Sus scrofa: one gene and its partners. The protein of the gene in region 3 binds, or shares a complex with, the protein of the main gene of each other region. Links are inferred from orthologs where the notes say so. Each region holds a gene or a part of one and is shown on either strand. Other genes may lie near its edges.

Evidence for each region.
Region 1: the proteins of GNAS (region 3) and GPR3 are in contact, whole or in part, in a cryo-EM structure (PDB 9LYB), measured with the Homo sapiens proteins. The link is inferred for Sus scrofa from reciprocal best matches to the Homo sapiens genes GNAS and GPR3. Residues at the interface, in NP_000507.1 of Homo sapiens: Gln35, Arg38, Ala39, His41, Val217, Phe219, Asp323, Asp343, Leu346, Thr350, Tyr358, Cys359, Phe376, Cys379, Arg380, Asp381, Ile383, Gln384, Arg385, Met386, His387, Leu388, Gln390, Tyr391, Glu392, Leu393, Leu394; in NP_005272.1 of Homo sapiens: Met75, Arg134, Ser137, Leu138, Tyr139, Ala141, Leu142, Tyr144, Tyr145, Glu147, Ile216, Ile219, Val220, Arg222, His223, Gln226, Ile227, Leu229, Gln230, Arg231, His232, Lys244, Gly245, Thr248, Arg300.
Region 2: the proteins of GNAS (region 3) and HRH1 are in contact, whole or in part, in a cryo-EM structure (PDB 9LRB), measured with the Homo sapiens proteins. The link is inferred for Sus scrofa from reciprocal best matches to the Homo sapiens genes GNAS and HRH1. Residues at the interface, in NP_000507.1 of Homo sapiens: Gln35, Arg38, Ala39, His41, Lys216, Val217, Asn218, Phe376, Cys379, Arg380, Asp381, Ile383, Gln384, Arg385, His387, Leu388, Gln390, Tyr391, Glu392, Leu393, Leu394; in NP_000852.1 of Homo sapiens: Asp124, Arg125, Ser128, Val129, Gln130, Pro132, Leu133, Arg134, Leu136, Lys137, Arg139, Thr140, Ile213, Ala216, Val217, Gln219, His220, Cys221, His223, Lys412, Ala413, Gln416, Leu417, Cys471, Asn472.
Region 4: the proteins of GNAS (region 3) and FZD7 are in contact, whole or in part, in a cryo-EM structure (PDB 9EW2), measured with the Homo sapiens proteins. The link is inferred for Sus scrofa from reciprocal best matches to the Homo sapiens genes GNAS and FZD7. Residues at the interface, in NP_000507.1 of Homo sapiens: Asp381, Gln384, Arg385, His387, Leu388, Gln390, Tyr391, Glu392, Leu393, Leu394; in NP_003498.1 of Homo sapiens: Pro285, Ala364, Lys368, Trp369, Gly370, His371, Ile374, Ile450, Ile453, Met454, Asp457, Thr459, Lys463, Leu464, Leu467, Lys552.
Region 5: the proteins of GNAS (region 3) and TACR1 are in contact, whole or in part, in a cryo-EM structure (PDB 7RMH), measured with the Homo sapiens proteins. The link is inferred for Sus scrofa from reciprocal best matches to the Homo sapiens genes GNAS and TACR1. Residues at the interface, in NP_000507.1 of Homo sapiens: Arg38, His41, Val217, Phe219, Tyr358, Phe376, Cys379, Arg380, Ile383, Gln384, Arg385, His387, Leu388, Gln390, Tyr391, Glu392, Leu393, Leu394; in NP_001049.1 of Homo sapiens: Met63, Thr67, Asn68, Asp129, Arg130, Ala133, Ile134, Ile135, Pro137, Leu138, Gln139, Pro140, Arg141, Leu223, Gln239, Ala242, Lys243, Val246, Met249, Leu308, Asn309, Phe312.
Region 6: the proteins of GNAS (region 3) and CALCR are in contact, whole or in part, in a cryo-EM structure (PDB 7TYY), measured with the Homo sapiens proteins. The link is inferred for Sus scrofa from reciprocal best matches to the Homo sapiens genes GNAS and CALCR. Residues at the interface, in NP_000507.1 of Homo sapiens: Lys34, Gln35, Arg38, Ala39, His41, Val217, Phe219, Tyr358, Phe376, Cys379, Arg380, Asp381, Ile383, Gln384, Arg385, His387, Leu388, Gln390, Tyr391, Glu392, Leu393, Leu394; in NP_001158210.1 of Homo sapiens: Arg180, His184, Glu240, Tyr243, Leu244, Leu247, Ile248, Val249, Val250, Ala251, Val252, Phe253, Glu255, Lys256, Ile319, Val322, Leu323, Lys326, Met327, Glu329, Thr330, Lys340, Lys343, Ala344, Ile347, Leu348, Leu351, Tyr391, Asn395, Asn396.
Region 7: the proteins of GNAS (region 3) and GPR21 are in contact, whole or in part, in a cryo-EM structure (PDB 8HMV), measured with the Homo sapiens proteins. The link is inferred for Sus scrofa from reciprocal best matches to the Homo sapiens genes GNAS and GPR21. Residues at the interface, in NP_000507.1 of Homo sapiens: Gln35, Arg38, His41, Val217, Pro321, Asp323, Arg342, Asp343, Leu346, Arg347, Thr350, Tyr358, Cys359, Pro361, Phe376, Cys379, Arg380, Asp381, Ile383, Gln384, Arg385, His387, Leu388, Gln390, Tyr391, Glu392, Leu393, Leu394; in NP_005285.1 of Homo sapiens: His61, His62, Thr64, Arg127, Ala130, Ile131, Thr132, Pro134, Leu135, Thr136, Tyr137, Asn138, Thr142, Pro143, Ile214, Ile217, Cys218, His221, Thr222, Asp224, Ile225, Arg228, Gln229, Arg231, Phe232, Arg249, Tyr250, Val253, Leu254, Asn308.

The regions. Positions count from the first base shown.
Region 1 is NC_010448.4:84,608,735-84,613,163, forward strand, and holds the start of GPR3 (G-protein coupled receptor 3), read left to right. Parts: upstream 1-1,372; 5' UTR 1,373-1,441; intron 1,442-2,463; 5' UTR 2,464-2,468; coding exon 2,469-3,461; 3' UTR 3,462-4,429. UniProt on the Homo sapiens protein: Constitutively active G-protein coupled receptor that maintains high 3'-5'-cyclic adenosine monophosphate (cAMP) levels that a plays a role in serveral processes including meiotic arrest in oocytes or neuronal development via activation of numerous intracellular signaling pathways.
Region 2 is NC_010455.5:67,406,188-67,410,061, forward strand, and holds part of HRH1 (histamine H1 receptor), read left to right. Parts: intron 1-1,921; coding exon 1,922-3,414; 3' UTR 3,415-3,874. UniProt on the Homo sapiens protein: G-protein-coupled receptor for histamine, a biogenic amine that functions as an immune modulator and a neurotransmitter.
Region 3 is NC_010459.5:59,047,486-59,051,359, forward strand, and holds part of GNAS (guanine nucleotide-binding protein G(s) subunit alpha), read left to right. Parts: intron 1-452; coding exon 453-550; intron 551-3,456; coding exon 3,457-3,511; intron 3,512-3,646; coding exon 3,647-3,720; intron 3,721-3,838; coding exon 3,839-3,874. UniProt on the Homo sapiens protein: Guanine nucleotide-binding proteins (G proteins) function as transducers in numerous signaling pathways controlled by G protein-coupled receptors (GPCRs).
Region 4 is NC_010457.5:105,642,672-105,647,052, forward strand, and holds the start of FZD7 (frizzled-7), read left to right. Parts: upstream 1-1,492; 5' UTR 1,493-2,339; coding exon 2,340-4,064; 3' UTR 4,065-4,381. UniProt on the Homo sapiens protein: Receptor for Wnt proteins.
Region 5 is NC_010445.4:68,017,116-68,019,922, forward strand, and holds part of TACR1 (substance-P receptor), read left to right. Parts: intron 1-1,402; coding exon 1,403-1,655; 3' UTR 1,656-2,807. UniProt on the Homo sapiens protein: This is a receptor for the tachykinin neuropeptide substance P. It is probably associated with G proteins that activate a phosphatidylinositol-calcium second messenger system.
Region 6 is NC_010451.4:73,400,151-73,404,770, reverse strand, and holds the start of CALCR (calcitonin receptor precursor), read left to right. Parts: upstream 1-1,544; 5' UTR 1,545-1,766; intron 1,767-4,620. UniProt on the Homo sapiens protein: G protein-coupled receptor activated by ligand peptides amylin (IAPP), calcitonin (CT/CALCA) and calcitonin gene-related peptide type 1 (CGRP1/CALCA).
Region 7 is NC_010443.5:263,952,235-263,956,546, forward strand, and holds the start of GPR21 (probable G-protein coupled receptor 21), read left to right. Parts: upstream 1-1,260; 5' UTR 1,261-1,395; intron 1,396-1,821; 5' UTR 1,822-2,215; coding exon 2,216-3,265; 3' UTR 3,266-4,312. UniProt on the Homo sapiens protein: Orphan receptor.

The DNA of each region.
Region 1 (4,429 bases), on a different chromosome or scaffold from region 3:
TTCCTCAAGCCCTAACCTAGTCCCTGCCCGCCCCCCACCCCCATCCCACAGGCCTGGCCCGGTTGATTCCCATGAAGATCAAAGCTAGAGACAGAGGGAGGAGAAGCAGCCAGTTCCCCTCCCCCAGAACTGGCTGTATCTGTCACATCTGAAGAAGTCAGCTGAAAGGTGCCCTGGGAACCGGCAAGGTTGGGGAAGAGGGAGCTCCTTTTCCACGTCCAGCCCTGCCAGGGTGCCCAAGATGGGAGGTTGAGAGGTGCCTGCCCTGGGGACTGAGCTGCCAGGTTTTCTGCTTCCAAGTTCTTCCCGGCTCCCCCACTCCTGCTGCTTCGGGGAAGTGCCCCCACCACTGCTACCCTGCTGGCTTTCCAGATCCTTGAATAAATAATTCAGGTTTTGAAATCTTGCCAGGCCCACCCCTCCTGTGCTCTGAGGGCGCTATTGGGCTGACATGATTGACGTCAGCCAGCTCCTTATGCCAGGCCCAGCATCACGAGGGCCTGCCCTGGCAGCAACTTACCTGCCTGGTCACTGTCAGTCCAGATCCTCTACCCTGTCCCATTCACTCTGGGGCCCACTCACCACCGGCACCTGGTATCTTCATTCCAGGACCCTACAACCTTCATCACAGCCTTGTCGCTTAAGCACTTGGAAAAGGGTCACAGTGACCTGAAGTCCTGTCACCTGATAATCCCTCTTCTCTTTCCCCTGCCTCTGCCTCTGCCACCCTGGGAGCCCTGTACCCCATCATGCCACAGAGTCACCCTGACATGGCTCTGGTTGCCTTGGGAGCTTCCCGCTTTACCTCATCATCACCCAAGATCCTGTCACCATGCTCTTACCGTCACTGCCACCCACCTCCTTGCTCCCCGTGCTCCTGTCACTGTCACCTCAGGGCCCTATCATCTTGGCAACCCTGCGTCATCTTCACCTGGGACGCCGGTTCAGCCTCATCACTTGATCCCCGTCACCTGAATTCCGTCCGCCTGTCTCTACCACCCGAGGGTCCCATCACCCGGCAGCCTATCCAGGTACCCCTTCCACTTCCCTTACACATCCCCCGCAGCCTCCCTGGGATTTCAAGGCTCTCCAACCAGCGCCCCGAAACCCCCGGCGGTAGAGGGCGTCACGTCAAGGACAGCCCAGGCCGACTCAGGAGGGGGCGGGGCCGCGGCCACGGTCGCTTTTTATGAATGGGGGAGCGGGAGGCACGAGGCCTCATTACTATGCTTAGCGGCGCGCGTTGCGCCCCAGCGCAAAGCACCCATTGGCCAGTGATGTCGCTGACGTCACCGAACCGGTGGCCGGGGGCGGGGCGGGGCGGGGTGACTCACGCCGCTTCTCCCGCGGCCGCGGGGGCTTCTCGGGGTCCACGCACACCCTGCGCAGCCCGGACCCAAGCGGAGCCTCCCCGCGGCCCGGCCGCGCCCGGTCCCGAGAGGTGAGTAGCGGGCCCCGCCGCGGCCACCAGGCTGCCGGGAGGGCACACAAGATGCAGGGGCGCTGGGGAGGCGGTAAGGCTCCCAGCAGTTGACCGGGGTCGGAGTTCGAGTCTGGGAACGCAGAGTCTGGGCTACCAGGAGGGGACCCAGTGTCTGGGTGCTGAGAGCCGTCCATTGGGTGACCTGACGAGAGGTGAGCACTCCTGCAAGGACCTGAGGCCCTGAAGGGACTGATGGTCATTTGAGGTTGGGCGGGCAGGAGGCGTCTGGGGCAAAGACCCAGGCGTCCGAGCAGGAAAAGGTGTCCGACTTAGGGATCCAGACATCCGGGCAGGAGGCGGAGTCAGGCCAAAAATCCAGGTGTCAGGGCAGGAGGGATCTGACTCAGGGATCCAGGCTTCCAGCAGCGGGTGACTGTTCCAAAGACTCGGAGGCTCAGGCAGAAAGAGGGGTCTAGCTGGGGACAGAAGTCTGGGCGGCTGTGTGTTGGGGGGCTGACTTCCCAGGTGTTTGTTACCCCAGGAGTGCAGGGTGGGGGCTGGCGGGAGTTCACGAGCATTTTCTGGGGGCGGAGTCTGGGGTTGGCTCAAAGGAGAATCGTGAGGGGTCTGAGCCTCCGAAAGGGAGCGTCATCCTCTCTAGTGGGGAGGGAGGAGAGCTGCCCTCAGTCTTGAGCTGTTTTTCCCTCCCCCAGCTCTGGGCCTTTCCCGGCTTCTCCTGGATCCTACCACTTAGTAGTCCTTCATCTTGTCCTCCTCTGGTTACACACGTGGGAAAAAGAGGCCTGCAGGACTCTGGGGAGTTGGAAGGGAAAGTGAAGGGACTCAGGACAGGGATCTTCAGGAAAAGAGACCCCTGCTCTCCTGGGGGCGTGGGAGAGGCCAAAGTGCTCCAGGGCATGAGTGGGGGGGACAAGTCATTGGGACCCGCCAGGTCTCCCGAGGAGAGGCTCCTGCTTTTTCCAGACCCCTCCACACAGCACCCAGCCCTACCAGCGTCTCACAGGGCCTTTCTCCTGCAGGTACCATGATGTGGGGTGCAGGCAGCCCCCTAGCCTGGCTCTCTGCTGGCCCGGGCAACGTGAACATGAGCAGCATCGGCTCAACAGAGGGCCCCACAGACCCAGACGCACCACTGCCCTCACCTAGGGCCTGGGATGTAGTGCTGTGCATCTCAGGCACCCTTGTGTCCTGTGAGAATGCGCTGGTGGTGGCCATCATCGTGGGCACTCCCGCCTTCCGTGCCCCCATGTTCCTGCTGGTGGGCAGCCTGGCTGTGGCAGACCTGCTGGCAGGCCTGGGCCTGGTCATGCACTTTGCTGCTGTCTTCTGCATTGGCTCGGCCGAGATGAGCCTGGTGCTGGTTGGCCTGATGGCGATGGCCTTTACTGCCAGCATCGGCAGCCTACTGGCCATCACTGTTGATCGCTATCTTTCCCTGTACAATGCCCTCACCTACTACTCAGAGACCACAGTGACTCGGACCTATGTGATGCTGGCCCTAGTGTGGGGGGGCGCGCTGGGCCTGGGGCTGCTGCCTGTGCTGGCCTGGAACTGCCTGGATGCCCCGGCCACGTGTGGTGTGGTATATCCACTCTCCAAGAACCATCTGGTGGTCCTGGCCGTTGCCTTCTTCATGGTGTTTGGCATCATGCTGCAGCTCTACGCCCAGATCTGTCGCATCGTCTGCCGCCATGCCCAGCAGATTGCCCTCCAGCGGCACCTGCTGCCTGCCTCCCACTACGTGGCCACCCGAAAGGGCATCGCCACCCTGGCCGTGGTGCTTGGCGCCTTTGCCGCCTGCTGGCTGCCCTTCACCGTCTACTGCCTATTGGGTGATGCCCAGTCCCCGCCCCTCTACACTTATCTCACCCTGCTCCCTGCTACCTACAACTCCATGATCAACCCCATTATCTACGCCTTCCGCAACCAGGACGTGCAGAAGGTGCTGTGGGCTGTCTGCTGCTGCTGTTCCTCTTCCAAGATTCCCTTCCGATCCCGTTCTCCCAGTGACGTCTAGTTGCATCCTGGCGACCCTTCAGTCCTGATCATTACAGAATTACAGAATGTTAGGTCCTCCGGGGCTTTGTTGCAAATCCCCAGCTCCACACCCCAAGACCCAGCTGGTTCTGGAGTTCTAGGACGTTGGGTGTTTCACAGGATTCTGTTCAGATCCCTGCAGGGCCCAGCCAGCTCCATGGTTCTAGCATGTTCAGGGGATCAGGGTTCCACTCAGAAATGTCCCACAGCCCAGCTAGCTGGGAGTTCCAGTATGCTGCTGGGTGTTTTACAGTGCCATTCCAAGTCCCTGATCTTCTGCCTCCCTTGACCTTGACCATGTCACTTTTGAGTTTCTGATCTAAAGAGTCAGAGAGGTTTGTTCCTCCGTTGCCTAGATAAGAGAAAGCTATATCTGTATATATGTGCACATACGAAGAGAGTATCTATTATTTATTTATTTATGAATTTATTTATGGGTGTTAAGGGGAAAAAGAGGCCCACACCTTGAAATCCAGGCCATACTAGGGTACTCCCAGTCCCCAACACTCCCATTTCTGACCTCAGTTCCTAGACAGGGAAAAGGGAAAGAGAAACCACGTATTTTGTTATTATTTTTGCTTATTTTTTATCGAAGAGATCATAGAAGCCAGAGCCTTCTCCCCCGGCCCGCCCCCCTAGGGTTGGAAGGGGGAACACACCAGCCTCTGGTTTTTTATTTTTTTAAGAAGCCATCACCTTAGAAACCGAGAATTCCTCTGCGCTGGGGGCCGGCTGTCCTCTGGTGGCCGTTTGGGGGAATTGCAGCCTGGCCCAGCCGCCGGAACCAGGCCAAGCAACCCCAACTCCACTCCAGCCTGGTGTCTAGCGCCACAGCCGGAGCCTGGGGGTCAGGCCTCACCCTGCGGTGCCCTAGAGGAGGCAGGGTGTGCGCCAACACCTGACCCCTCTGCCAACTGGGATATGGCCCCCAGTGCATTCCCTATTCCT
Region 2 (3,874 bases), on a different chromosome or scaffold from region 3:
ATCTGCCCATGTTTTAATCAGTTTTTTCTGGTTTTTTTTTTTTTTTTGATGTTGAGTTGTATAAACTGTGTGTGTAGTCTGGTTATTAACCCCTTATTGATCATATCATTTGCAAATATTTTCTCCCATTCTGTAGGTTGTATTTTCATTTTGTTGGTAGTTTCCTTTGCTGTACAACAGAATAAGTTTAATTAGGTGCCATTTGTTTACTTGGGGTATTGGTTTTTGGTTTTGGTTTTTTTGTTTGTTTGTTTGTTTGTTTGTTTTTGGTCTTTTTAGGCCTCTACCCACAGCATATAAAGATTCCCAGGCTAGGGGTCAAATTGGAGCTGTAGCTGCAGGCCTATGCCACAGCCACAGCTATAGCCACACCAGATCTAAGCCGTGTCTGTGACCTACACTACAGCTCATGGCAATGCCAGGTCCTTAACCTCCTGAGCGAGGCCAGGGATCAAGCCTGCATCTTCATGGATACTAGTTAGATTCATTTCTGCTGAACCATGACAGGAACTCTGGGTCTTGCGTTTTGTCTTTAAAAATCATGTGAATTTAGCCTTCTATTCAATAATTTATCTGGATTCATCTAAATGTAAAAATAATTTGTTTTTGCTAAATTATCAAGAGACAGTTACACACTGTTAGCACTTCCCAGCTTTCTTTAAACTCATACCACTTTTTGATGAATATAAAAATCAAACAATGTCTTCTGAAGGTTTTAATACATACTTTGACTTCCCACTCTAATTGAGGATCATCTATAAGAGATTCCAATCTGTTTTCAGGATAGCCCCACCAGCAAAGATGTTTTTGTTACACATTAGTTTGCATAGTTTGTGTTATGAGAAATTCAAATATAAAAGTAAAATAATAAACATGCTTTCTAAAATAACATGCCTCTCTTCCCATTTGAGAACCATTCATCTGAGGAGATGTGGGAGATTTATTTCATGCTCTGTGTGCCCTAGTAACCTCCCCCATATTGGTTAGGATTGCTTTTATTTTAATTTAATTTAGGTTTATTTCATTTTATTTGCCCAAGCCCCCTGCATGCAGAAATTCCCGGGACATAGATAAAAACCAAGCCATAGCAGTAACAGTGCTGAACCCTTAATCACTAGGTCACTGGGGAACTCCTGGAGTGCTTTTAGATGCAAGTAAAATCCCCACAACAGTGACTTAAACAAAAAAGCATATTTAATTATTTCCCATGATAACCAGCCTGGAAGAAGAAGATTCCAGGGTTGGTTCACTTGCTCTGTAATAATAGGACTATGACTTGGCATCTCAGTGGTTTTCTTGGCTTTTCCCTGGTGACCCAAGATGACTGCTATAGCCCCAGCATCACACCCTGTCCGGAAAAGGGGGCAAGTGGGAAACACCCTTTCACTTCTTTTGCGCATCTGTTAGAGAGGAAGAACTTTGCAACCCCCCCCCTTTCCTTGAGACTTCCTTGGCCACAGTTGTGTCTCAGACCCACTCATAGACCAGCCACTGACAAAGAGGAATGAGGATGCCGTGTGTAGCTTAGACCAGTCATGGTGCAGCCTCTCTCCTAGAACACATGCAACCTGGGACATGTACAAACCTCATTTTGTTTTTGCTTAACTCCCTCAATAGAATGTGAGTTCTTTGAGGGCAGCAATTTTTATTTTGTCCACTGCTCTATCCCCAACCCCAGAATAATGCCCAGGAATATAATAAGTAGTCATGGAAGGAAGGAAGGAAGGGAAGGAGGGAGGGGGGAGGAAGGGGGGGGAAGGAGGGAGGGAGGAAGACCTAAGGAAGTGGGGGATATAGGCTGTAGGTATCTAGCAGCATCTGTTGCTCCTTGACAGCATACACCCCAGTTTGATCACCATGATAGCACTGAGTCTGCTGATCACCAGGGCTCTGACGTGACTCCTCATGTCTTTCTTCCCAGGGAGTGAACAGGAGCTGGAGGCTACTCTTGTGCCAATGACCTTTCCTAATTCCTCCTTTACCTTGGAAGACAATATGTGTGAGGCGAACAAGACCACCATGGCCAACCCTAAACTGATGCCCCTGGTGGTGGTCCTCAGCGCTGTCTCCCTGGTCACGGTGGGACTCAACCTGCTGGTCCTGTGTGCTGTGCGCAGTGAGCGGAAGCTACACACGGTGGGGAACTTGTACATCGTCAGCCTCTCGGTGGCTGATCTGATCGTGGGGGCCATCGTCATGCCCATGAACATCCTCTACCTCCTCATGTCCAGGTGGTCCCTGGGCCGCCCACTCTGTCTCTTTTGGCTTTCCATGGACTACGTGGCCAGCACAGCGTCCATTTTTAGTGTCTTCATCTTGTGCATCGATCGCTACCGCTCTGTCCAGCAGCCCCTCAGGTACCTGAGGTATCGAACCAAGACCCGAGCGTCGGCCACCATCTTGGTGGCCTGGCTTTTCTCCTTCCTGTGGGTCATTCCCATTCTGGGCTGGCATCGCTTTGTATCACGGACCTCAAGGCGCCGGGAGGACAAGTGTGAGACGGACTTCTATGATGTCACCTGGTTCAAAGTCATGACCGCCATCATCAACTTCTACCTGCCCACCCTGCTCATGCTCTGGTTCTATGCCAAGATCTACAAGGCTGTGCGGCGGCACTGTCAACACCGGGAGCTCATCAATGGGTCCCTCCCTTCCTTCTCTGAAATTAAGCTGAAGCCAGAGAACCCCAAGGTGGGGGCTAAGAAAGCAGGGAAGGAGTCTCCCTGGGAGGTTCTGAAAAGGAAGCCGAAAGATGCTGGTGGTGGACCTGTCTTGAAGCCCTCATCCCAAGACTCAGTGGAGATGAAGTCCCCAGGTGTCTCCAGCCAAGAGGATGGAGAACTGGACAAATTCCATTGCTTCACACTTAACATTGTGCAGACGCAGATGGAGGCAGAGGGGAGCAGCAAGGGATATGTAGCCGTCATCCACAGCCAGAGCCAGCTAGAGATGGATGAGCAGGGCCTGAACATGCGTGGGGCCAATGAGATATCAGAGGATCAGACCCTGGGTGACAGCCAGTCCTCTCGGACAGACTCAGACACTCCTACAGAGCCAGTGCCGGGAAAAAGCAAACCGAGAAGTGGGTCTAGCACAGGCTTGGATTATATCAAGTTGACTTGGAAGAGGCTCCGCTCACATTCAAGACAGTATGTGTCTGGGTTGCACATGAACCGAGAAAGGAAGGCCGCCAAACAATTGGGTTTTATCATGGCGGCCTTCATCCTTTGCTGGATTCCTTACTTCATCTTCTTCATGGTCATCGCCTTCTGCAAGAGCTGCTGTAATGAGCATGTGCACATGTTCACCATCTGGCTGGGCTATATCAATTCCACACTGAACCCCCTCATCTACCCCTTGTGCAACGAGAACTTTAAGAAGACATTCAAGAAAATTCTGCACATTCGCTCCTAAGGGGTTTCAACCCAGTGATGTGTATGATGTCCCTGAAGGAAATGGAGGAGGAATGCCTGTGTGTTGCCAGGCACCTGAGCTTTCTGGAGTCAAAAGAATAAGTCACAGGGGCTGCCAAGTAGTTTGGAAAGTTCATGGTTACCACTGGAAAAACAGCAGATGGTGGTGGTCAGCAGAGAGATTGTACTCTGAGAGCAGACTAATTCCAATAGAACTGGAGCTGAATGAACTCTCCTGCTCCTGGGGAAATATGGGAACCTCAGACTCTCCTTGCAAGTCAAGCTTTCAGATTCGAATTAATGGGCCATTGAAGAGCCGTGTGGGTAGAGTTCCACTGGAGAGGTAGACAGAACTCTGGAGCCTTCCTGGAATGGAGCTGTGTGACTATACAGAGACCTTATAACAGACACATGCTGTCCCCTGCCAGGGGTCACCTTGAGAGGCATGACAGCTATTCGAC
Region 3 (3,874 bases):
TACTGCCGTTGAGAACAACGCAGAGGTCGCTGGCCCTTGGCTTCTTCCTGGCAGACCGTCCCCAGAAGCACAGGGCAGACTGGCCAGCAGCTCCCGACCGTCATAGTTTTGGCCAAAGCTGAGAAAACGTGCCCCACAACCTCATCACAAAGACATGTCCTGTCCCCCCACCCAGAGCCTCCTGACCAGCTCACACCCTCCCGTAGAAGCGACTCTGAAGAAACCCAGTTCCTGGGCGGCCCAGTCCGGCCTCTCCCCCCCAGGCCCCCGACGCACAGGCTGATGACAACCCGGGAGCAGTAATTCTGGACTCGGGGGGGCCCTTGAGCCCGCCGACGTCCTGTAGGAACGCTCCTGCCTAAAGCTGCCTGGACATGGGGACCGGCCCTTGGGGTGGGTCTCCCGGGCGCCCTGCAGCCCCCTCCAACCCCTCTCCCTGGCCCTCCCTGCAGGAGTTCTACGAGCATGCCAAGGCTCTGTGGGAGGACGAGGGCGTGCGCGCCTGCTACGAGCGCTCCAACGAGTACCAGCTCATCGACTGCGCCCAGTAGTAAGTGCCCTCCCCGCCCGAGCCCCGCGGGGCACACCCCACACCTCCACTCCCACCGCCCCAAGGTACTTTCTTAGCAGCCAGCCAGGTAGTCTCACCTGCCTTGAGAAGGTTCTAGTCTGATGCATTTATCTTCTAGGGGCCTTCATGGCACGTTTTAGTGCAGCTACGTTATTTTATATAAACACTTAATGCCTGGCAGAGCAAAGTGATAATCACCTGCCATAAAGCCATGGTCGTCGTTAATTAGCTCAAAGTAATTAATTGAGTTGACCTGCAAGCATTTAGAGAGGTGGGACAGCTCTCACACTTCGGATAATGTGGCAATTTTGTATTGTATTTACCGCAACTGAAAAACGTGCCAAAGAGGAATGGTGAGGACAGACATGTGCTGCCCCCGCCCCAACCTCCCCACCGCCCGTAAGGGACCACAGCAGCTGCCAGGGTTCATCTCGCGTGGGCACCATGTTGGATGCCATTTCTTGTCCTTGTTCCTCATTCAAGGGGCCTCCCCTGCCAAGGGGTCCTTGCCCTGTCCTCCTGTCCCTTCAAGGCTCTCTTGCAGTGGGCCTGATGACGCCCAGCCGGGAGGCTGCCTTTAAGACAGCTTGACCACCTGTCTTACCCTGTGCATCGTGCGGTAGACACATGGCCTTCAGAGCCGTGAAAAATATCTCAAAGAGACCCTCTGTTTGCTCGTGTCGCACACATGTACCAAGCGGTCTCAGGCAACGTGCTCTCAAGTTGGACTGTCTTTTCTGACAATACGATAATCCTGTGTCAGCCCCTCGTGTAAGTAACTGAAACGCCAACAATTTGCTTTGGAAAATGTTCAGTAATCAGGACCCAGGGACGAGGCTGGCTCGCCAAAAGCTAAAATCGTGCATTACCCAGGAGCCCCGCGCCTGAGGAACTTGGGGCCACACAAAGCCAGCTCCCCAGAACCCCGTCATCTGCACAGCACCCGAGCTCCTCTTGGGGTCTGCGAAAGCTGTCCACGTCCCTTCACCGGCCCTGCTTTCCCACAGCAAGGGCACTCGATGCTTTTCACTTGTCACCCCTACAGCTATTTTGTGACTTAACACGCAAGCAAACTTGTATATTTTTTCAAGGAACAGAGAAACAGTCCATCTGGGCCGGTCGCCGTGACCCCCACCCCCACCCCTTCTTCAACAAAGTCCCTGATTTTCTCAAAAGTTTGAGCTTAAAGCTGGAAGTGCTAATTATAGTAACACAAAACACATGGAAATCCTGGAATTGTTTGCCTTTTGTTTTCTGGATCCAAGTCAGAAGCACAGGTACAGGATTAGGCAGCTTTGACCACCCCATTCTTAAGAGCCCTGGGGGGGCGGGGCGGGGTGTAACAACTTCATTAATTCAGTTTAGCCAGCTTTCTTTTTTTTTTTTTTCTTTTTTTTTTAAATCGCACACCATTTCAAAAGTTTTTTTTAAAAGTTTTTCGAAAGCCCTATCCACGCATGCCTGCAACTTTATCTGCAAATGGCAGCATGTGCACAGTTTATGGAAAGTTTTAAGGAAACTCCGAGAAAAAGAGAACAGAGCTTGACCCTTTTAAAATGTCTCCTTCCCCGGCCAGCCGCCTCCAGCAGCCCTGCCTTCTTCGTAGCCCGCCTGTTTCTGGCGTAACTGCCTTTAGGTTACGGCCGAGGTCCTGGGGACGTGCCCGTTCCTTAAGGTGCCTGTTTTTATTTGTTGAGCTGGGCTTTGGCTGGCCCCCCTCCAGATGTCTCTCTCACAAGATTTGGTGCTGATGAGCTATTTATAGACCTGTGGTTCGGTTGCCATGGCAACGTGCTGGAGGCCAGGGCGGCTGGGGAGCTATTTCTGGCCTGGTGCTGTAATGTAAGCCTGATTGGGCAAGTTAGTGTATCCTCGAAGCCAGACTCACTTTAAACTGGTGAAAAGGAAAGGGGGGGGGGCACCACCTTATAGAATTTCTTTAAATTTTTCTCGCTTTGATTTTCTTCTCTGATTAGCTCACTTTCCAACACCTCCCATCCCCCCTTCCCCCCCCCCCAAAAGCTGGTTTCCACATTAACTTTCCATGGTAATTACCTCAGTCCAGTCTTTTAAAAGTTATTTTTCCTAACAGTGTGTCCAGTCGGGCAACCCAAGCAAAGAGCCTCCCGACTCTGGGAGGGAGGAAGCATTCTCACCCCTAGACAGCCTTCTCACCCCTGAGACCCCCAGACCCCGCGCCGCCACGGTGCGCGCCCCCTGCCTGCCTGGGGCCCCAAACCTGGATGGCGGTGAGGTGCTTTGAAAGCTTCCTCTCTGGGCTGGTCTGCTTCACGGACCAAGCAGGACGGAAGGGAACTGGTGTCTGTTTCCTGTTCGGTGCGGTGCGGGCCGAGAGGGCCACTTCCTAAAAGGAGAGATACCCTTTCTGAGTTAATCCAGCAATCTCATCTTCATTCGTCCTTTGGGCGAAAAAAATCCTTGCTTCTTTTAAGCGTGCCCTTTTTTTTTTCTTCATTTTTTCAAAAACTCCCTGACATGGAAGTGTACAGTTTTCAAACGACTTGCCGTTTTAGTCAAAGCCAAACAATCTGAGGGTGTACTGTTTTACTCAGGCATTACCCAATGGCACACAGTCAGGCCTGATTTGGGGCCCTGGGCGGATGGATTTGCACAGAGCGAGTCTTTTCAAATTAAAACCAGATCAGATCCCCCCCCCCCAACTGGCCTGTGCTGTACCTGTAGGCCAGGGGTCCTGATTTATCTTAAATCCTATTTGCGCGAACCTTTGTAAGGCATCCGCTTGACCCTAATGAACTTCATGGGATGGTCGTTTTCGCTTAGCTGGACCTTGTGGCTGGGCAGGAATAGTGGGCAAATTGGCCTGAACGTGTGGTCACCCCCGTGTGTCTTTCTTCTGCTCCCAGCTTCCTGGACAAGATTGACGTCATCAAGCAGGCTGACTACGTGCCCAGCGACCAGGTATGCACCCCTTCTCACAGGGCAGAGGATGCAGAGTCTTCTTTCCAAGCCAGTCAGCATTTTTGCTCCAGGTTGGCAATGATTAACACTTGGGTTGGTTTTGGTGAGACCGCTTAATCTGAGACTTTGTTTTAGGACCTGCTCCGCTGCCGCGTCCTGACTTCTGGAATCTTTGAGACCAAGTTCCAGGTGGACAAAGTCAACTTCCAGTAAGTAAACGGTTCCTTTTTTTTAGAAAGAAAAATAGGTTTCTCGAGGTCCCCCCGCAGTGAGCATGGTGGACCATGGTAGCCCTTGTGGTGACCAGGCGTCCTCTCTCTCCTGCAGCATGTTTGACGTCGGTGGCCAGCGTGACGAGCGCCG
Region 4 (4,381 bases), on a different chromosome or scaffold from region 3:
TTTGTTTTTGTTTTTTCTTGCTGGAGAAGAGGCTCACCGTGGGCAGCAGAAGCAGCAAAAGCAGCAACTTTTGCAAACATGCATCCCAATCAGAAATCCCTCAGGGCTCCAGCGCCTGGAACTGAGCTGACAGAAGGAAAGGGCTCCGCCAGGAGTAACGTTTTCTAAGGCGTAAGATTGCTTTGTGCGTGAGTGTGTGAGAGAGAGAGGGAGACAGAGAGGGAGAAGCAGATTTTTCCTTTCTCAACATTGTCATTTTCCTGCATGGGAATTCAGGATATTCCTCGCTGTCCAGCGAGAAGGGAGAGCGGCCCCCCTCCCTCCTAACTTCTGATCTCGTCGGGAGTAAGCAGGGCGCGCGCGCGAGCGCCCATTGCCTTCAGCAGGGCGAAGATTTGACCGGGAACAAAAGAACGCTTGCCAATCGGAAAACGCTACCCGAAAACAGGATAACTTCTCTTTGTGTTTTGAAAACTAATTAGCAAATGCCCTTGGTTTCTAATACCCATTTAAACTTTTCAACGCATATTCCAAGGATCAAATCATTGCTTCTGCGACAAAGATGGGATCCCAACACGCCGCAGAACTAAGAAAAAGAGGATAAATACTCTCTCTAAACCGTACAGTGTTCCTGGGCACTCGGGTCGCAGGTTTTTTGTTTTTAATAGCCATTTCCCCCAACACTGTTTTCTTATGGCTCCATTAAAGCTATACCAGATCGCTAGACCCTGGGCCGTGCTCGCGGGCAGGGTGACTTGGGGTCGGGGTCCCCAGCGCCCGCGGCTCCCCAACCCTCTCCCCTCCAAGGGGTCTGCACTTCCTCCCGCCTTACGTCGGCCCCTTCGCCCGACTCCAATTTCTTCGCGGTCGCGGCCCCTCCTCCTTTTTACAACTGGGAGCGGGGATGAGAGGGGATTGTGGCCTCACGTGGTCTGTTAGAGTCGGGGGAGAGAAAAGCAATCCGCGATGCGCACCCTTTTCTGGCCCCATAGTGAACCCTTCATTTAGGACCCCGCTACCCAAAAGTCCCCCGCCAAGCCCAGCATTTTCAGCTCGGGGAGGGCTAACGTGACTCCGAGTCACGTCCCTATCTGCCGTGGCGCTGCTCTATTCTCAGCTTCTCCCCGTAAACTTCCCCCGTGCGCCCTTCTATTCAGGAATGTGTATTTTAGAGTACCCGGAAGAGGAACAAATCTTTCAAGCAAATTCCCTTTCTGGTGCGTTCCCCCCTCCGCTCCCCCCAGCGAATTCACGGTAAAAGTTTTTCTTAACTTTTCCCTCCCAGCCCCCGCCCCTCCCCTCAGGAATCCGCCCAGAGCGCTGCAGACTGTGCCTCTCGGGTTCCCTCGCCCGCCCCTTCCGACTTCCACCCAATCCGGAGGCGACCACACAGAAAACAAAGGCTGCCATTGGGCGGTCTTGGAGCTCCAGGGCCCGCCCCCGGAGTGGTTTGTGAATGGGGGGAGGGGAGAGGGCGGGGCGGCCCGGAATCCTGCGAGCGCGACGCTTCTTCTGCGGAGTTGCTGGGCTCCGAGACGTTACTCTGCGCTCCCTCCCGGCGGGCGGCGGCGGCGGCGGGCGCCGCGACTCACCGGCCGGGGCTGCGCGGGACTGGAGAGGCCAGGCCCAGGCCGCGAGCACGGGGGCCTCATAGCTTTGGACGCAGTGTGACTGGATTTCTTCAAAGAACTCGCAGAGCTCTTGGCTCCAAGACGCCGATAGGACTCAGAACGAGAATCAACCGTTTGGCTGAAACTTGGGGACAAGCTTTTGGGGCTGAAAAAGGAGCAGGGAGTGGAGAAGAAGGCGGCGGAGAAGGAGGTGGCGGCGAACTGAGCCTCGAGGCAAGGAGGCGGAGCAGCACCGCAGAGGCGGCGGCCTTGGCTAGCAAGCCGCGGCGCCGGGCTCTCGCTCGCCGGGGGCCCAGACGCAAGCGGGGGGCGCGCGCGTTACTGTGCGCTGTGAGTCAAGAGACTTGGGCAAACTTTGAAGGGTAACCGGAGACGCTTGTTGCTCTTCGCCGCAGAAAGAGCCGCACCGTTACGTCCCGGCGCGAGGAAAAGGCGTCTCCCCCCCATCGGCGCCCCCGGCCCAGGCAGACGTGTTTGGGCCCCCGGCGGCTGCGCGAGTGCTGGGCGGAGGCGGCGGCGGCGACGGCGCCCTTGCGGCGCGAGCACCCTAGCTACAGCGCCCTCGGCTCCGCACCGCCCACGGCCCGGCCCCGGCGCCGGGAGGACTCTCATGCGCCCGGCGCGGCGGCGCCTGCCGGGATCCCAGCCTCTCCTGGCTGTCTTGTCGCGTTTCTTGGGCTGAGAGCGCCGCTGCACCCGCGGCCGGCGATGCGGGGCCCCCGCACGGCAGCGTCGCCCTCGCCTCTGGGCCTGTGCACCATGGTGCTTGCAGTGCTGGGCGCACTGCCCGCGGGCGCCGGGGCGCAGCCGTACCACGGCGAGAAGGGCATCTCAGTGCCGGACCACGGCTTCTGCCAGCCTATTTCCATCCCTCTGTGCACGGACATCGCCTACAACCAGACCATCCTGCCCAACCTGCTGGGTCACACGAACCAAGAAGATGCGGGCCTCGAGGTGCACCAGTTCTACCCGCTGGTGAAGGTGCAGTGTTCTCCCGAGCTGCGCTTCTTCCTGTGCTCCATGTACGCACCCGTGTGCACCGTGCTCGATAAGGCCATCCCGCCGTGCCGTTCTCTGTGCGAGCGTGCCCGCCAGGGGTGTGAGGCGCTCATGAACAAGTTCGGCTTCCAATGGCCCGAGCGGCTGCGTTGCGAGAACTTCCCTGTGCACGGCGCCGGCGAGATCTGCGTGGGCCAGAACACGTCCGACGGCTCCGGGGGCCCAGGCGGCGGGCCCACCGCCTATCCTACAGCGCCCTACATGCCCGACCTGCCCTTCACCGCGCTGCCCCCGGGAGCCGCTGACGGCAGGGGCCGCTCGGCCTTCCCCTTCTCGTGCCCCCGCCAGCTCAAGGTGCCCCCCTACCTGGGCTACCGCTTCCTGGGCGAGCGCGACTGCGGCGCCCCCTGCGAGCCGGGCCGCGCCAACGGCCTCATGTACTTTAAGGAGGAGGAGAGGCGCTTCGCCCGCCTCTGGGTGGGCGTGTGGTCAGTGCTGTGCTGCGCCTCGACGCTCTTCACGGTGCTCACCTACCTAGTGGACATGCGGCGCTTCAGCTACCCGGAGCGGCCCATCATCTTCCTGTCGGGCTGCTACTTCATGGTGGCCGTGGCGCACGTGGCCGGCTTCCTGCTGGAGGACCGCGCCGTGTGCGTGGAGCGCTTCTCAGAAGACGGCTACCGCACGGTGGCGCAGGGCACCAAGAAGGAGGGCTGCACCATCCTCTTCATGGTGCTCTACTTCTTCGGCATGGCCAGTTCCATCTGGTGGGTCATCTTGTCGCTCACTTGGTTCCTGGCCGCTGGCATGAAGTGGGGCCACGAGGCCATCGAGGCCAACTCTCAGTACTTCCACCTGGCTGCGTGGGCGGTGCCCGCTGTCAAGACCATCACCATCCTGGCCATGGGCCAGGTGGACGGGGACCTGCTCAGCGGGGTTTGCTACGTGGGCCTGTCCAGCGTGGACGCGCTGCGGGGCTTCGTGCTGGCGCCCCTGTTCGTCTACCTCTTCATCGGCACGTCCTTCCTGCTGGCCGGCTTCGTGTCGCTTTTCCGCATCCGCACCATCATGAAGCACGACGGCACCAAAACGGAGAAGCTGGAGAAGCTCATGGTGCGCATTGGCGTCTTCAGCGTGCTCTACACCGTGCCCGCCACCATCGTCCTGGCCTGTTACTTCTACGAGCAGGCCTTCCGCGAACACTGGGAGCGCACCTGGCTCCTGCAGACGTGCAAGAGCTACGCGGTTCCCTGCCCGCCCGGCCACTTCCCGCCCATGAGCCCTGACTTCACCGTCTTCATGATCAAATACCTGATGACCATGATCGTAGGCATCACCACGGGCTTCTGGATCTGGTCCGGCAAGACCCTGCAGTCGTGGCGCCGCTTCTACCACAGACTCAGCCACAGCAGCAAGGGGGAGACGGCGGTATGAGCCCCAGCCCCTCCCCCACCCTTCCTTCTCCCACCCCCACCCCCCTCGCAGGGGGAAAGGCGCGGTAGGGACAGAATTGCCGGGTGGGGGGCTTGTTTCTGTAACCTCCCTCCCCTCCAGTGAGAAGTGACCTGGAAGAGAGACGATAACGTGTAGATTTGGGACGAGGCGTGGGTTTGGAAAGGAGGCCTGAGTGGAAAGGCGGTTTGGATGAAAAGACTTGTGGCCGAGACTCCAGGGTGATGATGATGATGGTGATGATGATAACAACGCTGTAAATCCTGAACGGTCCAGGCCGACCCGGGCCAGTGGAGAGG
Region 5 (2,807 bases), on a different chromosome or scaffold from region 3:
CAGAAAACTAATGATCATGCTGTTCAATCTCTGCCGATTAACACCATGCAAGAACATGAGCCCCAAGGAGCTATTTTTTCCTTTTTCCAGAGGAACCATAAATTCATATTTTGTGTGAAATCTTCTGACTTTTAAACACTGGTTACAAAGTCAGTTTTGGAGGGTGGAGGGGCAGGGGCAGATTGAAAACATTTGTCATTGATGCATATAAAGCATGTTGCAAGACTGATCAAGGTCATGAATTTTTTCAGTCTACGCTATGGATCCCATGCACACAGGGTTTGTGCATACAGACAGAGAGTCAGCGAGTGAATGAGGAGTGAGAATCCTAGACTGAGAGAGAGAGAGAAGGGGATGCCACTAATATTACCCACCATAGGGCATCTTTTTCCTTCTCTGATCTCTCATTTTCCTCTTCCCATCCCATAATACAATCTGGACCACTTTTCCCGGTTTCTTCTACCACTTCCAGCAGGACAGGGTAAGCAAAAAGAAGTCATGGCCTTAAAGGCCTGTTCTGCCTTTTCTTGGCCACAAGGGTCAAGAGAGACTTTGGTGTAGATGACAATCTCAGACAAGTAAGAGAAGGGAGAGTCCATCAGGAGTGGTGGTCCACAGGAAAGAATTCCCCATAGTGTGCAGAGACCCCAAGAGGGACTGGGATACCCCGGTGGCAGCTCAGTCATCCAGAGCACACCCCCCACCCCAGCCTCTGTGTGGAAAAGGAGGCAAGAGAGAGAGGGGGAGGGATAAAATACTTGTCACATTTATAGCCAGCAGTTACCAGCCTATAAGGTACCCTCTGTGAGTGAGACACTCAGGTGCTATAAATCTGGGGAGAGATATTCTCTGGGACTTTTCCAAATGATCTTTGAAAGTCTAATTCACAGATTAGTCTTTCTTCTGAGAGCCTCACAACCTGCCTAAACATTTCTAGGTTAAATCTCCCAGCATGTTTTTAAGTAAAAGCTGATTCTTCCTATTTAAAAAACATGGAAACAGGCACTCTGAAGGGACATGATTGACAGAAAGTCAGTGGGCTATTTGAAGGAGAGGACTGAGTCTTGACTCAGTATTGTGCATATGGTAACTACTTAGTGAATGTTTTTGTTTATCCAAAATCACCTGACCTTAAACCAGTGGAGGTAGCATATTTCAACAGCTGCTCTCAGTATGGACATGCACTTCATGTGAACCTAAGTTCTAGTCCCAGAGTTGACCTTGATGATGACCTTTAAGGGTTTTTGTCCTTAGCATCTCCAGCTGTCAATTAATTAAAAAAATAATAACAACACAGGGTCACATTTGGATACGTCCAGTATTAAGGGGCTAACGCAATGGTGGGAAAGAGGCTATAGCCAAGGGTTACCAAGGGTTACCTCTCCATCCACTCTCTCTCCAGGTTTCGTCTGGGCTTCAAGCATGCCTTTCGGTGTTGTCCTTTCATCAGTGCTGGTGATTATGAGGGGCTCGAAATGAAATCCACTCGGTACCTCCAGACCCAGGGCAGTGTGTATAAAGTCAGCCGCCTGGAGACCACTGTCTCCACCGTGGTGGGGGCCCATGAGGAAGAGCTGGAGGAAGGCCCAAAAGCCATGCCCTTATCCCGGACCGGACCTCCAACGGCTCTTCTCGCAGCGACTCCAAGACTATGACAGAGAGCTTCAGCTTCTACTCCAACATGCTCTCCTAAACCACAGGGCCTTTGGTAGACACGGCCACCATGCTTTATCTTGTTTCATTTCATGCATGGATAAGTACGCTATATAGAAACCATAAGCAACATCCTTGAGACTTGTGAAAGGATCAGAATCATTTAGGGAAAATATTCCATCCTTGAGTAAAAAACCTGAATTCTTCCATGTCTTTGACCCCCATACGCTGTATGACCTAAAGCAAATCATCCAGCTTCTCTGAGCCTGTAAAATGGGAAGGTTAGACTTGATTTTCTCTGCAATTCATTCCATGATCCTGGAATTAACTTTAATCGCATGTAGGTGCTCATTTCAGGGTGACTCCTGCAGTGCAGATCCAATGGATCTGCCTACCCGGAGCCTCCCTCTTACTTCAATAAAGCTGATCTCAGTCTTGCTTAGATTATTTCCCTTTAGCTGGTGGCTCACACTGCATCAGCCTTTGCTTGATAAGATGAACAAAAGGAGGAACCACAGAAAATCTGAATGAAAGATTTCACCCTGTCTTCTAAGCATCCATGAAAAGAAGGCATACTTCTGCCCCCTTTTGGCATTTCAGTATCTCAGTGCATCATGGGATTGAGAGCCTCAAGTTCAACTACACTGTGTCCCCAGTAACTCTCCTGAGCAATCAGTGCAAGTGGAACATGTCCACTGATACCAACTAATGTCTGTTTTGGACCAAGACTCAGGAGAACAGTGCCATACTTTATCTGATCCTCTCTTATTTGTAAAGCTATGAGGCTGAGTATGTCATCTAGGTGTCCCTTCAAATTTTGACATTCAAGTTTCAATGATCCTATGAATTTTTGGTTTGTTTCACCAAAAATTGGTAGTCTCAGAAAGAATAGGAGCAGCAAGTCTAGCGACTTAACATCCAGCTCCTAGAGATGTAGGAACTGCTAAGACCATGTATCAATATCCACATACAACATACTCTGATTTATCCCAAACTCTTGAGCACTTTCCTTCTTCTGGAAGATTGGCCTTTGCCAGAGCAGAGGACTTGGTGTCAAATCTTACTCTCTCCATCAGGCTTTTGCAGGCCGAGTCTCGCAGCTGGAGAATACCATCAGGGAAGACAAACATGTGAGCTCCCTGCTCGGCCTTCTG
Region 6 (4,620 bases), on a different chromosome or scaffold from region 3:
TTTGCCTAGTGCAATCTCTCCAGGGCAGGGATCACAGAACGGATGGGTGTAGGTTGCCGTCCCATTCACAGGGCACCTCTGTCGTCTGAGTGCTTAGGAGAAACTCGGACTGCCCCGGAAAGTGTTCTGTGTTGTTGTCTGGCTTTCTTCCCGTCCTATTTGGTTGCTGTTGCCTTTATTTCTTTTGCTGAGTAAACAGTGTTGGTAACCTGGACGGTCCACGACCACCTTGCAGTCTCAGTCTCGGGACACGGCGAGATGTTGCTCTCTTAGCCCAAAGTCCCTTGAACAGAGTTAGGAAAAAAAGTGTCCGCTGCTGCCTTGCTCTATCCAGCGGTGGGCTAAAGGATGTTGAGGGCTGTGCGTCCTTGGAACCAACTTGCCCGCCTTCCAGAGCGCTCCAGCCGGCAGGAGTAGCGCCCTGCCCGGAATCAGATTGTCCCGGGCTCCTCCTGGCATCAATGGCTTTAGTGGGGGAGAGGCACTCGAGACCCCCGTCTTCCTCACCTCCTCACTGTGCTCACTCCCCGTCGTAGGCTACTGTGCCCACCAGCAGCCCCTACATGAAGGGAGCTGTTCCCCTCAATCCAGTCTGCGCCTCCAGCCCCAGACAGCTGCCCAACTCTGAACGCTCTGGCAACACTTTGCGGACCCCCCAGCCCCTCTTCTTACCTCCTGCCTCCCAGCTCCTTCCCTTGCTTTCTCTCGGCACCCCAGTTCCTAGACAAACGTTTTCCCACCCATCTCCATCTCACTTTCACCACCTCGCCCACTGGAGACCCTCTCCACAGGCTCCCAGGTGGTGCTGTCCCCCAAGCAGCGGCTGAAGGAGCCGGGGTGGCACGGTCTCTAGGGGTGGGTTCTTTTGGAAACTCACCTCCCTCCGGAATTTGCGTCCTCTGGGGAGGGGGACAAGGCTCCTAGAAAGCTATCTCCCTGTACACTATGAATCCCCCAGCCCAGACTGTCACCCCCTCCCCAAGGTCTAACTCGGGTCCCTCTCCTGCTTCTCGTGTTTACGCCGCTTTTTACTCTTGGGGTCTCGTGGGGTGAGCCCCCGCGGGGACTCGAGCTAGGCAGCCGTGCGGGTGCAGCCCCACTCGCGGGCCAGGGCGAGAGGGGCTGGCGCGTAGGCGCTCAGAGCTCTCCTGCTCCCCCTCCCTCTCCAGGGACAGGAGCGGGCTGACGGGGGCGGGAGAGTTCGGGGGCGGGGGGGCTGGCGCTCATCAATTCCGCTGCCACCTCCTCTGCTGCCCGGGAGGAGGGAGAGCGGGCAGGGAGGGGCGGGGGAGCGGGCAGGAGAAGACTTAAGTCGGGAGAAGTTTGCGCAGAGCTCACAGCTGGGAAGGAAGGCGCCGGGAAGGTGAGCCTCTTGGACTTTGGGGAGGTGGGAATCAAGCATGGGGATGAAGCCCTTGCCTTTTAGCCTATATACTAGCTGGGGCTAGGTGTAAATGATCACTTAAGGCAGAATTAGAGTGTCAGGAAATCGGGAGAAGGGCAGGAGAGGGAGCGCTCCGGACTAATGTACTTTGCTCTTCACTAGGACGGCCAGCCCCCCAGACCCTGGGAGGGCTGCGCCGCGCCTTTCTCGGACCTTCCTGGGCTGGAGAGGTGCGCGCCGTCCGCACCTCGCCCAGGGGCTGGAATCTCCAATCCAGGAGATGCGCGCTGGAGCCTGAGTTCCTGAGTCTCTGGAGCCACCACCTGCGAATGACCTTCGCTTCCACTGAGCTGTGCCCGGCAGCCCAGTGAGACTGCTCCAGGTAAGGAGGGTCTTGGAATGAGCTGGGCTTTAAGATTTAGGATGTTCTCTAGGGGATGGTTAACAGTGGAGATGCGCCAGATACCTTGTTTTTTTGATGACAAAACTGCACTTTGATTGTGATGTTTCAGGTTCTGATTAGGGTCGACTTAGTCTCAGTCACCTCACCTTAACATTGATTAAAGAAAAGCTCGTTGTCTAGGAAGGTACTAAAACTTAGGGTTTCATATTGACAAATCCTAGGATTTTGTGTGAGTTTTACTTGCCGTTAATATAAATTTTCCTCCAAAAGTTTTATTCTCCTGCTTCCTGGGTATGAAAATTAGACACTGAAAATTGTGGATTTTTTCTAAAAGGTATTTATTAACTCATAAACAGATAATATCGGCATCTATGTGATGTGTCACAGTTGTTCTAGATATTGGAAATGAGTACAGTGGTGAATGGAGTTGCTTCTTAAGTCATGTTTTACAGAGAATTATTTTCCAACAATCATTTATGCATAGCAGCCATTCTTCACACCTATTAGGAAAAATATGTTGTGTGCGTAGTTTCCAAAAGGGTACTCTTTTTTCATGATGCTCTTCCCAAGCCTGGGTGAAAGACATCATGAAAAGCTCTCACAAATTAGTTCTCCTTCCCTAAACATTCATTTTCCTTGAGGTCCAAGGAAATCCAGTCAGAGTCAAAAATCAACAATCCAATTAGATTTTTAACCCATTATTTAGACTTTATTTTGCAGATCTACCTAAGAAAAGCTCTATCTAAAAGCTTTAAGCTGGTATTACATAGTACATTCAAGACTAGAAGGCAGTGTTCCATTGCTGATGTTCAGGAGACCCTAACGGCCGTAGTTAACCTGAACCAAATCATCTGTTCAAGGCTATTTGTCGAAATTGTTGGGTGATTGAAATTGAAATGTTCAAAATAAACCAAAGTGTGACCCTATAGTTTCTGCAACTAATCTGTAAGTAGCAGAGTGTCCAAGTTGGAGTGTGTTTTAAATGATAATAGAAAAGCAAATAGTTGATACTTTGAGGCAACCTTGATGTGCCATCAGAGACAAAGTAGGAATGCATCTAGTGTTGTGGGATTTATCATTTGTAATATCATGTTACTAACCTACTATGTGTCCAGTTAGAACTCAGCTTTAAAAAGTCAGAATTTCTGGGTGTTCCATGCTAGCATTATGAGAGGATCTAGGGTGATTAGATTTGCAAAACATCTTTGCAGTTTAAGTCAGTATTCTCAGTGGGCATTTATTTCTACTCAATATTTTAACATAGCTCAAAACATCCATTGGCCGGGATTTGCTTTGATTTTATGCCTCTATTCTATAGTTAATTTCAGGAACTACAGCCACAAAAGTAATAGTCATTGTAAAATACTCTAAGGTTATTTATTGACCACACCAACATATCAAGTATAGTAAACATGAAATCCTCATTATAACTTATTGACAAGAACACAGAAAACTTACAGTTGTGGTCTAAGTTGATGCTCGGAGTTGAAGAAAACTCTGTTCTTGGTGAACTTCTCAGATTCCTTCAATGTTGAAAGGAATGAAGATATTATCTGCTGTTTTTTATTAGAGTAAAAACAAAATAGAAACAGGAGACGTGGTATTTTCATTGATAACCCAAACCAATGTTCGGGCTGCAAATTAGAACCAATGGGAGAACATTAAAAAAAATATTGGACCCTACCCAAAACTAAGTCAGAATATCTGAGGGACGGGTCTACATTTTTACTTTTTTTTTTTTTTTTTGACGTGATAGAGCTCGTTAATATTGGAGGGTCTTGGAACATAAATGCTGTATGTTCTATTGTCAGTCTAATCTTTTTTATCTTAAAGAAAATATTTATAATTTATTATCCCAATTAGAAGAAAGAGATTTGTTTCCCTTAATGGTAGATGTTTACCGTAACAGTTTCCGGGAAAGAAATTTTTTTTTCTAGAAAACAAGCTATTGAGTTTGAAGCTTATCTGACTGTCCAGAGAATGCTCTAGTGAATTTACTCTAACTTTAAGAGATGTTGGAAACAATGCTTTATGAAACACAGAATTTGGTCTCATTTTGCTAAGACCTATATGATGTGTAATGTGCAAATATATATACCCTTTTGAAAGGAGAGAAGAAAATAGTACCATACTCCTTGGCACACCAAATAACATATCCCGGGTGCTGAATATGTTCTGGTATTTTCACATAAATTATTTCCTTTAAAGCCCACAATAGCTTAGCGAGGTGCCAGCTTCTACTCTGATTTCATATATGAGGAAATTAAGGACCCATTAGGTTAATGAACATGCTTAAAGCTGCAAACCAAGTAAATCTAATGCGTATTTGAACCCTGGTCTTCTTATTCTAAGTTCAATGCTATAATAAAATATATATTTTTATACATATATGTATATACAAATATTTTAAATTTAAAGACAGCATTTTTTTTGCAAAGCAGTATTGATTAAGAGCCACCGATTCTGGCACGGCTCTGCTTGGGTTTCATACCCGACTCCATCACCTTCTAAGAAGTTGTATGATTTTGGACAAATAATCTAACCTCTGTGTGTCTTAATTTCCTTTATAAAAGGGAGTTTTTCTAATGAGTATTAAATTAATATTTGTAAATCATTGGGGTAGATGTCTGGTGCATAGTAGTTTCTATGTAAGTGTTATATTTTTTAAATGTCATCTATTCAAAAAATTTTTGTGATTATTTATAATGTGCCAAGCATTGCATTAAGCCTGAAGATACATAGACAAATATGATATGTCTCTATCCTCAAAGATTTTGCATCTAATAGAGGATGACCAATACACAAGTAATATTCCACTCAGGTATGAAATTTT
Region 7 (4,312 bases), on a different chromosome or scaffold from region 3:
AGGGCATATGATCCTTATTTTGCAGATGATGAAGCTGAGGCTAAGTAATATTAGAGCAAGGATTTGAGCCAAATGGGTGTTCAGTGCCATGGATCTTTTCGCTGTTCCATCTTTTCCTCTAAGACCTGTCAAGTACTACCAAGCTATCAAGCTTATGCTTAATAGGCTTTTTGAGTTTCTTGCCTTTGGTGTGATACGCACAGTGCTTTAAATCTTAAAATGTAGTTGATTGAATTCTGGTAATGAGTGGCCATTGCCTGCAATGAGAAAGCATGTGTGTGAAACAAAAAATAAAAGTTGGATCATGTAATATAATTAAAAATTGTTATCATTTGACACTTCCCAGTTAGCTGAAAATTATCATCACTTAGACATCATCTGAAGAGCCACAGTATCATCCCAATTTGCCTTGTGTTGAGTAGGCGCAAAGAAGATTGTGTATTTTAAGGTACACAGATTGTACCATGAAACTTCCTCCAGTTTTCAAACCTGGGTGGAAGTGGGTACATTTAATTTGTCCATCTTTTGTTTGTATATTTGTGTACCAGTTCTCAGCAAACTAGAAGCATGTAATGGCATCTGAAAACTATAGGATAGTGTTGAATACAGCAACAGCATAATTCCTCTTTCATCTGTGTGCTATTTCTGCATATTCAGAATGGATGGAATTTATTTTTTTCTTTTGAAAAACGGAATTTTTAGATTTCCTTGTTATTTTGGCCATCTTTCTTAAAATTGATCAGCATTTAGTGAATAATGAGAGAAAATTAATGCCAAATATGTAGCTTTCTACCTAGGACTTCTTGTGCTGAATTATGAGTCCTCAGTTGTCATGAACTGTTAACACATTTTCATTCTTTAACATTGCTCTTTGTTCCCTGAGAAATGCTACAAGGAAATAGGAATTTCCTCTCACCATTACCCCTCTGGCAGTGTGTTTCAATCTAATTCCTGGCTGGCGCTCTGTCCTGGTTACTGTCCCTTCTCCTTACTAAATTCAGTTCATCTGTTAAGAGGGGGATTCCAGACAGACGAGGAAACAGCTTTCAAACATTGCACTGCAGGCATATTAAATTACCCCCCCACCCCCCCACCCCCACCCCCACCCCCACCTCGTGTGATCTGAAAATCGGGGAGCACCTCTCTGGCGATGAATTCTAATGAGCTGCTAAAGATGCCGGAGTGTGCACGCACACAGGCATTTTCTTTCCCCTCCCCCGCCTCTTCCTTTTCCCAAGCCCCTTCTTCTCCCTATTTCCCCTCCTACTCCTTTATCCCCTCCCTCTGTGGCTCAGTTCTGCAGTAAACGGGGCTAAGGCACATTCCTGCTTTGCAAGGCTTTCTGTTAAGGATGTTCTGCGGCTTTTGTTTGGATCGCAGCATGCAGAATTACAGGTAACACTCGGAAATTGAGCTAGGCAATTCAGTGCTGTTGAAATATTTTCTAAGAGGCAAAATATTATATTGGAATGAATGAAGAAAGTAAGTTATATTGGTTAGTATTATTAGTGGTAATTGTAGTAAAGTGTTTTCAGAAATGCTATATGCAGATTTCTTTTTTCCCTTAAAAGGCTCAGTTGAAAGGAGACGGGCTTAGATTGATCTCATTTGCAATTGATTTTGTTTTTATGTTGATCATGAAAGCTTGCTGTCACTGCGCTTCCTCTGTAGAGTAAGGGGTGCTACTGAGGGTAGCTGTGAATAGATGTACCGGGTGTGGCAGGATAGAGTGGGAGGGGTGGTGTCAGCCCGAGCTAGCCAGGTTCTTGATGAGGGCATTGGATGCAAAATGTAAAACACTCTCTCCTTTTCTTCTATCAGCTGTTCAGAGGAGACTCATTACAACTCCTGCTGAAGTCCTAGTCTTCCTCCCTTCTCTTCTGCCCCTACCCCCTACCCTCATTGGCCTGAAGACATTGTAACCAGAGTTTGCCTTACTCCCCCGGTGCTATGTGTATGGTAAACCTGGTACTATGGCCGCATCTGGGACTGGCCAGACAACTGCTGCTGGTTCTCCCTATTCCAAGGAGGATTTAAAAGGGAATTGCACTGCAGGCAATGCATCAGAGCAGCAGCATCGGGAGCTTGGGGACTAAGGCTCCTCGGGCATTATTACAGACACACAGAGCTGGCCGCAATGACAGCAGCTGCTCCATTGAACTGTTGGCAGCAGCCAGGCGGCAGCATGAAGTGAGAGATCACTCCTGAGCTCAAGATGAACTCTACCTTGGATGGTAATCAGAGCAGCCACCCTTTTTGCCTCTTGGCATTTGGCTATTTGGAAACTGTCAATTTTTGCCTTTTGGAAGTATTAATTATTGTCTTTCTAACTGTATTGATTATTTCTGGCAACATCATTGTGATTTTTGTATTTCACTGTGCACCTTTGTTGAACCACCATACTACAAGTTATTTTATCCAGACTATGGCGTATGCTGACCTCTTGGTTGGAATAAGCTGCCTGATCCCTTCTTTATCACTCCTCCACTATCCCCTTCCAGTGGAGGAGTCCTTGGCTTGCCAGGTATTTGGTTTTGTAGTATCAGTTCTGAAGAGTGTCTCCATGGCCTCTCTGGCTTGTATCAGCATCGATAGGTATATTGCCATCACTAAACCTTTGACCTATAATACACTGGTTACACCCTGGAGACTACGCCTGTGCATTTTCCTGATTTGGCTATACTCTACCCTGGTCTTCCTGCCTTCCTTTTTCCACTGGGGCAAACCTGGATATCATGGAGATGTGTTTCAGTGGTGTGCGGAGTCCTGGTATACCAGCCCCTACTTCACCCTGTTCATCGTGATGATGTTATATGCCCCAGCAGCCCTCATTGTGTGCTTCACCTATTTCAACATCTTCCGCATCTGCCAACAGCACACAAAGGAAATCAGCGAAAGGCAAGCCCGCTTCAGCAGCCAGAGTGGGGAGACTGGGGAGGTTCAGGCCTGTCCTGATAAGCGCTATGCCATGGTCCTGTTCCGAATCACTAGTGTATTTTACATCCTCTGGTTGCCATACATCATCTACTTCTTATTGGAGAGCTCCACTGGCCACAGCAACCGCTTCGCATCCTTCTTGACCACCTGGCTTGCTATTAGTAACAGTTTCTGCAACTGTGTCATTTATAGTCTTTCCAACAGCGTATTCCAAAGGGGACTAAAGCGCCTCTCCGGGGCCATGTGTGCTTCTTGTGCAAGTCAGATGATAGCTAAGGACCCTTACACAGTTAGGAGCAAAGGCCCCCTTAATGGATGCCATGTCTGAAGTGGTTCAGATACTGGGTCACCGTGTGTCTTGTATGTGTGTGTGTGTCCTTCTTATCTCTTTGTATTCTGGTTCACTGGGAAATGTGGGACAAAATAATTTGACTCTAAGCATTAGCAAACAAATGATCCATCCAAAATACCTTGGATTTTGCAGAAATGATTTTTTTTAATGCTTTTTAATTCAGGACCATGAAGATAAATTTATCTTGGTTCCAGTTTTTAGAATGTCATGGAAATGACTGTATTTCTTAGACTTAAAATGAATAAAGCCATATCTAACACCTCTCTCCAGCTGGCATGACTGAACCTGGGTGTGAAAAGCGTCAGCATTTTTAAAAGTCATCGTTTTCTTGTCGCTTTTCTGGGTTCTTTCCAGCTGTTTGGGCTTCATGTATAATTTATTTCTTTTAACAGGGAAGATTAAAATACAGTGATGAATTAATAGCATTTAAAAAAATTTTTAATGTATGTCAAAGTATTGCTACACTGAAGGTTTCACACTGTCATTCAGAAAGCCAAATGTTTTATGTCTTAACTCTCTGGAGAGAACGCTCAATACAGTGAGTAACGTAAAAACTTAAACATTGATTTAAAATTTTTGCATTGAACCATGAAGCAGAAGGGCAGTCAAATTATACAGTTTATTAAAAACTAAGCTGTTTTTTGTGCCATGCTTCACTGAGATCTAAAGAAGTGTGTGTATTGAAAGTGACTGTGTTGTATTTTTGCCCATGCCTTTTGTGTATGTGTGTTTTGAGAATATTTGAATTGAATTAGATTTCTCTTTCAGAGCAAAAAAAGTGTTTTAATAAGCTGAAAAATAATTAAATGATAGGCTGACTGTCATTTGTATAATGATGAAAATATATTAAAATGTGTCTTTAGTCTTCTGTGCTCTTTTTAGCCAGAGACTGTTAAACATTAAGGTATCAGGAAGAAAGTTGTCCTAAGCAATGAACTCAGAAAATATATTGTACATTTAGCTAGTTCATTTTTAAAACAGAAGGGGGTTGATTGAGATGTTCTCTTTGTGGTTAAATGGAAT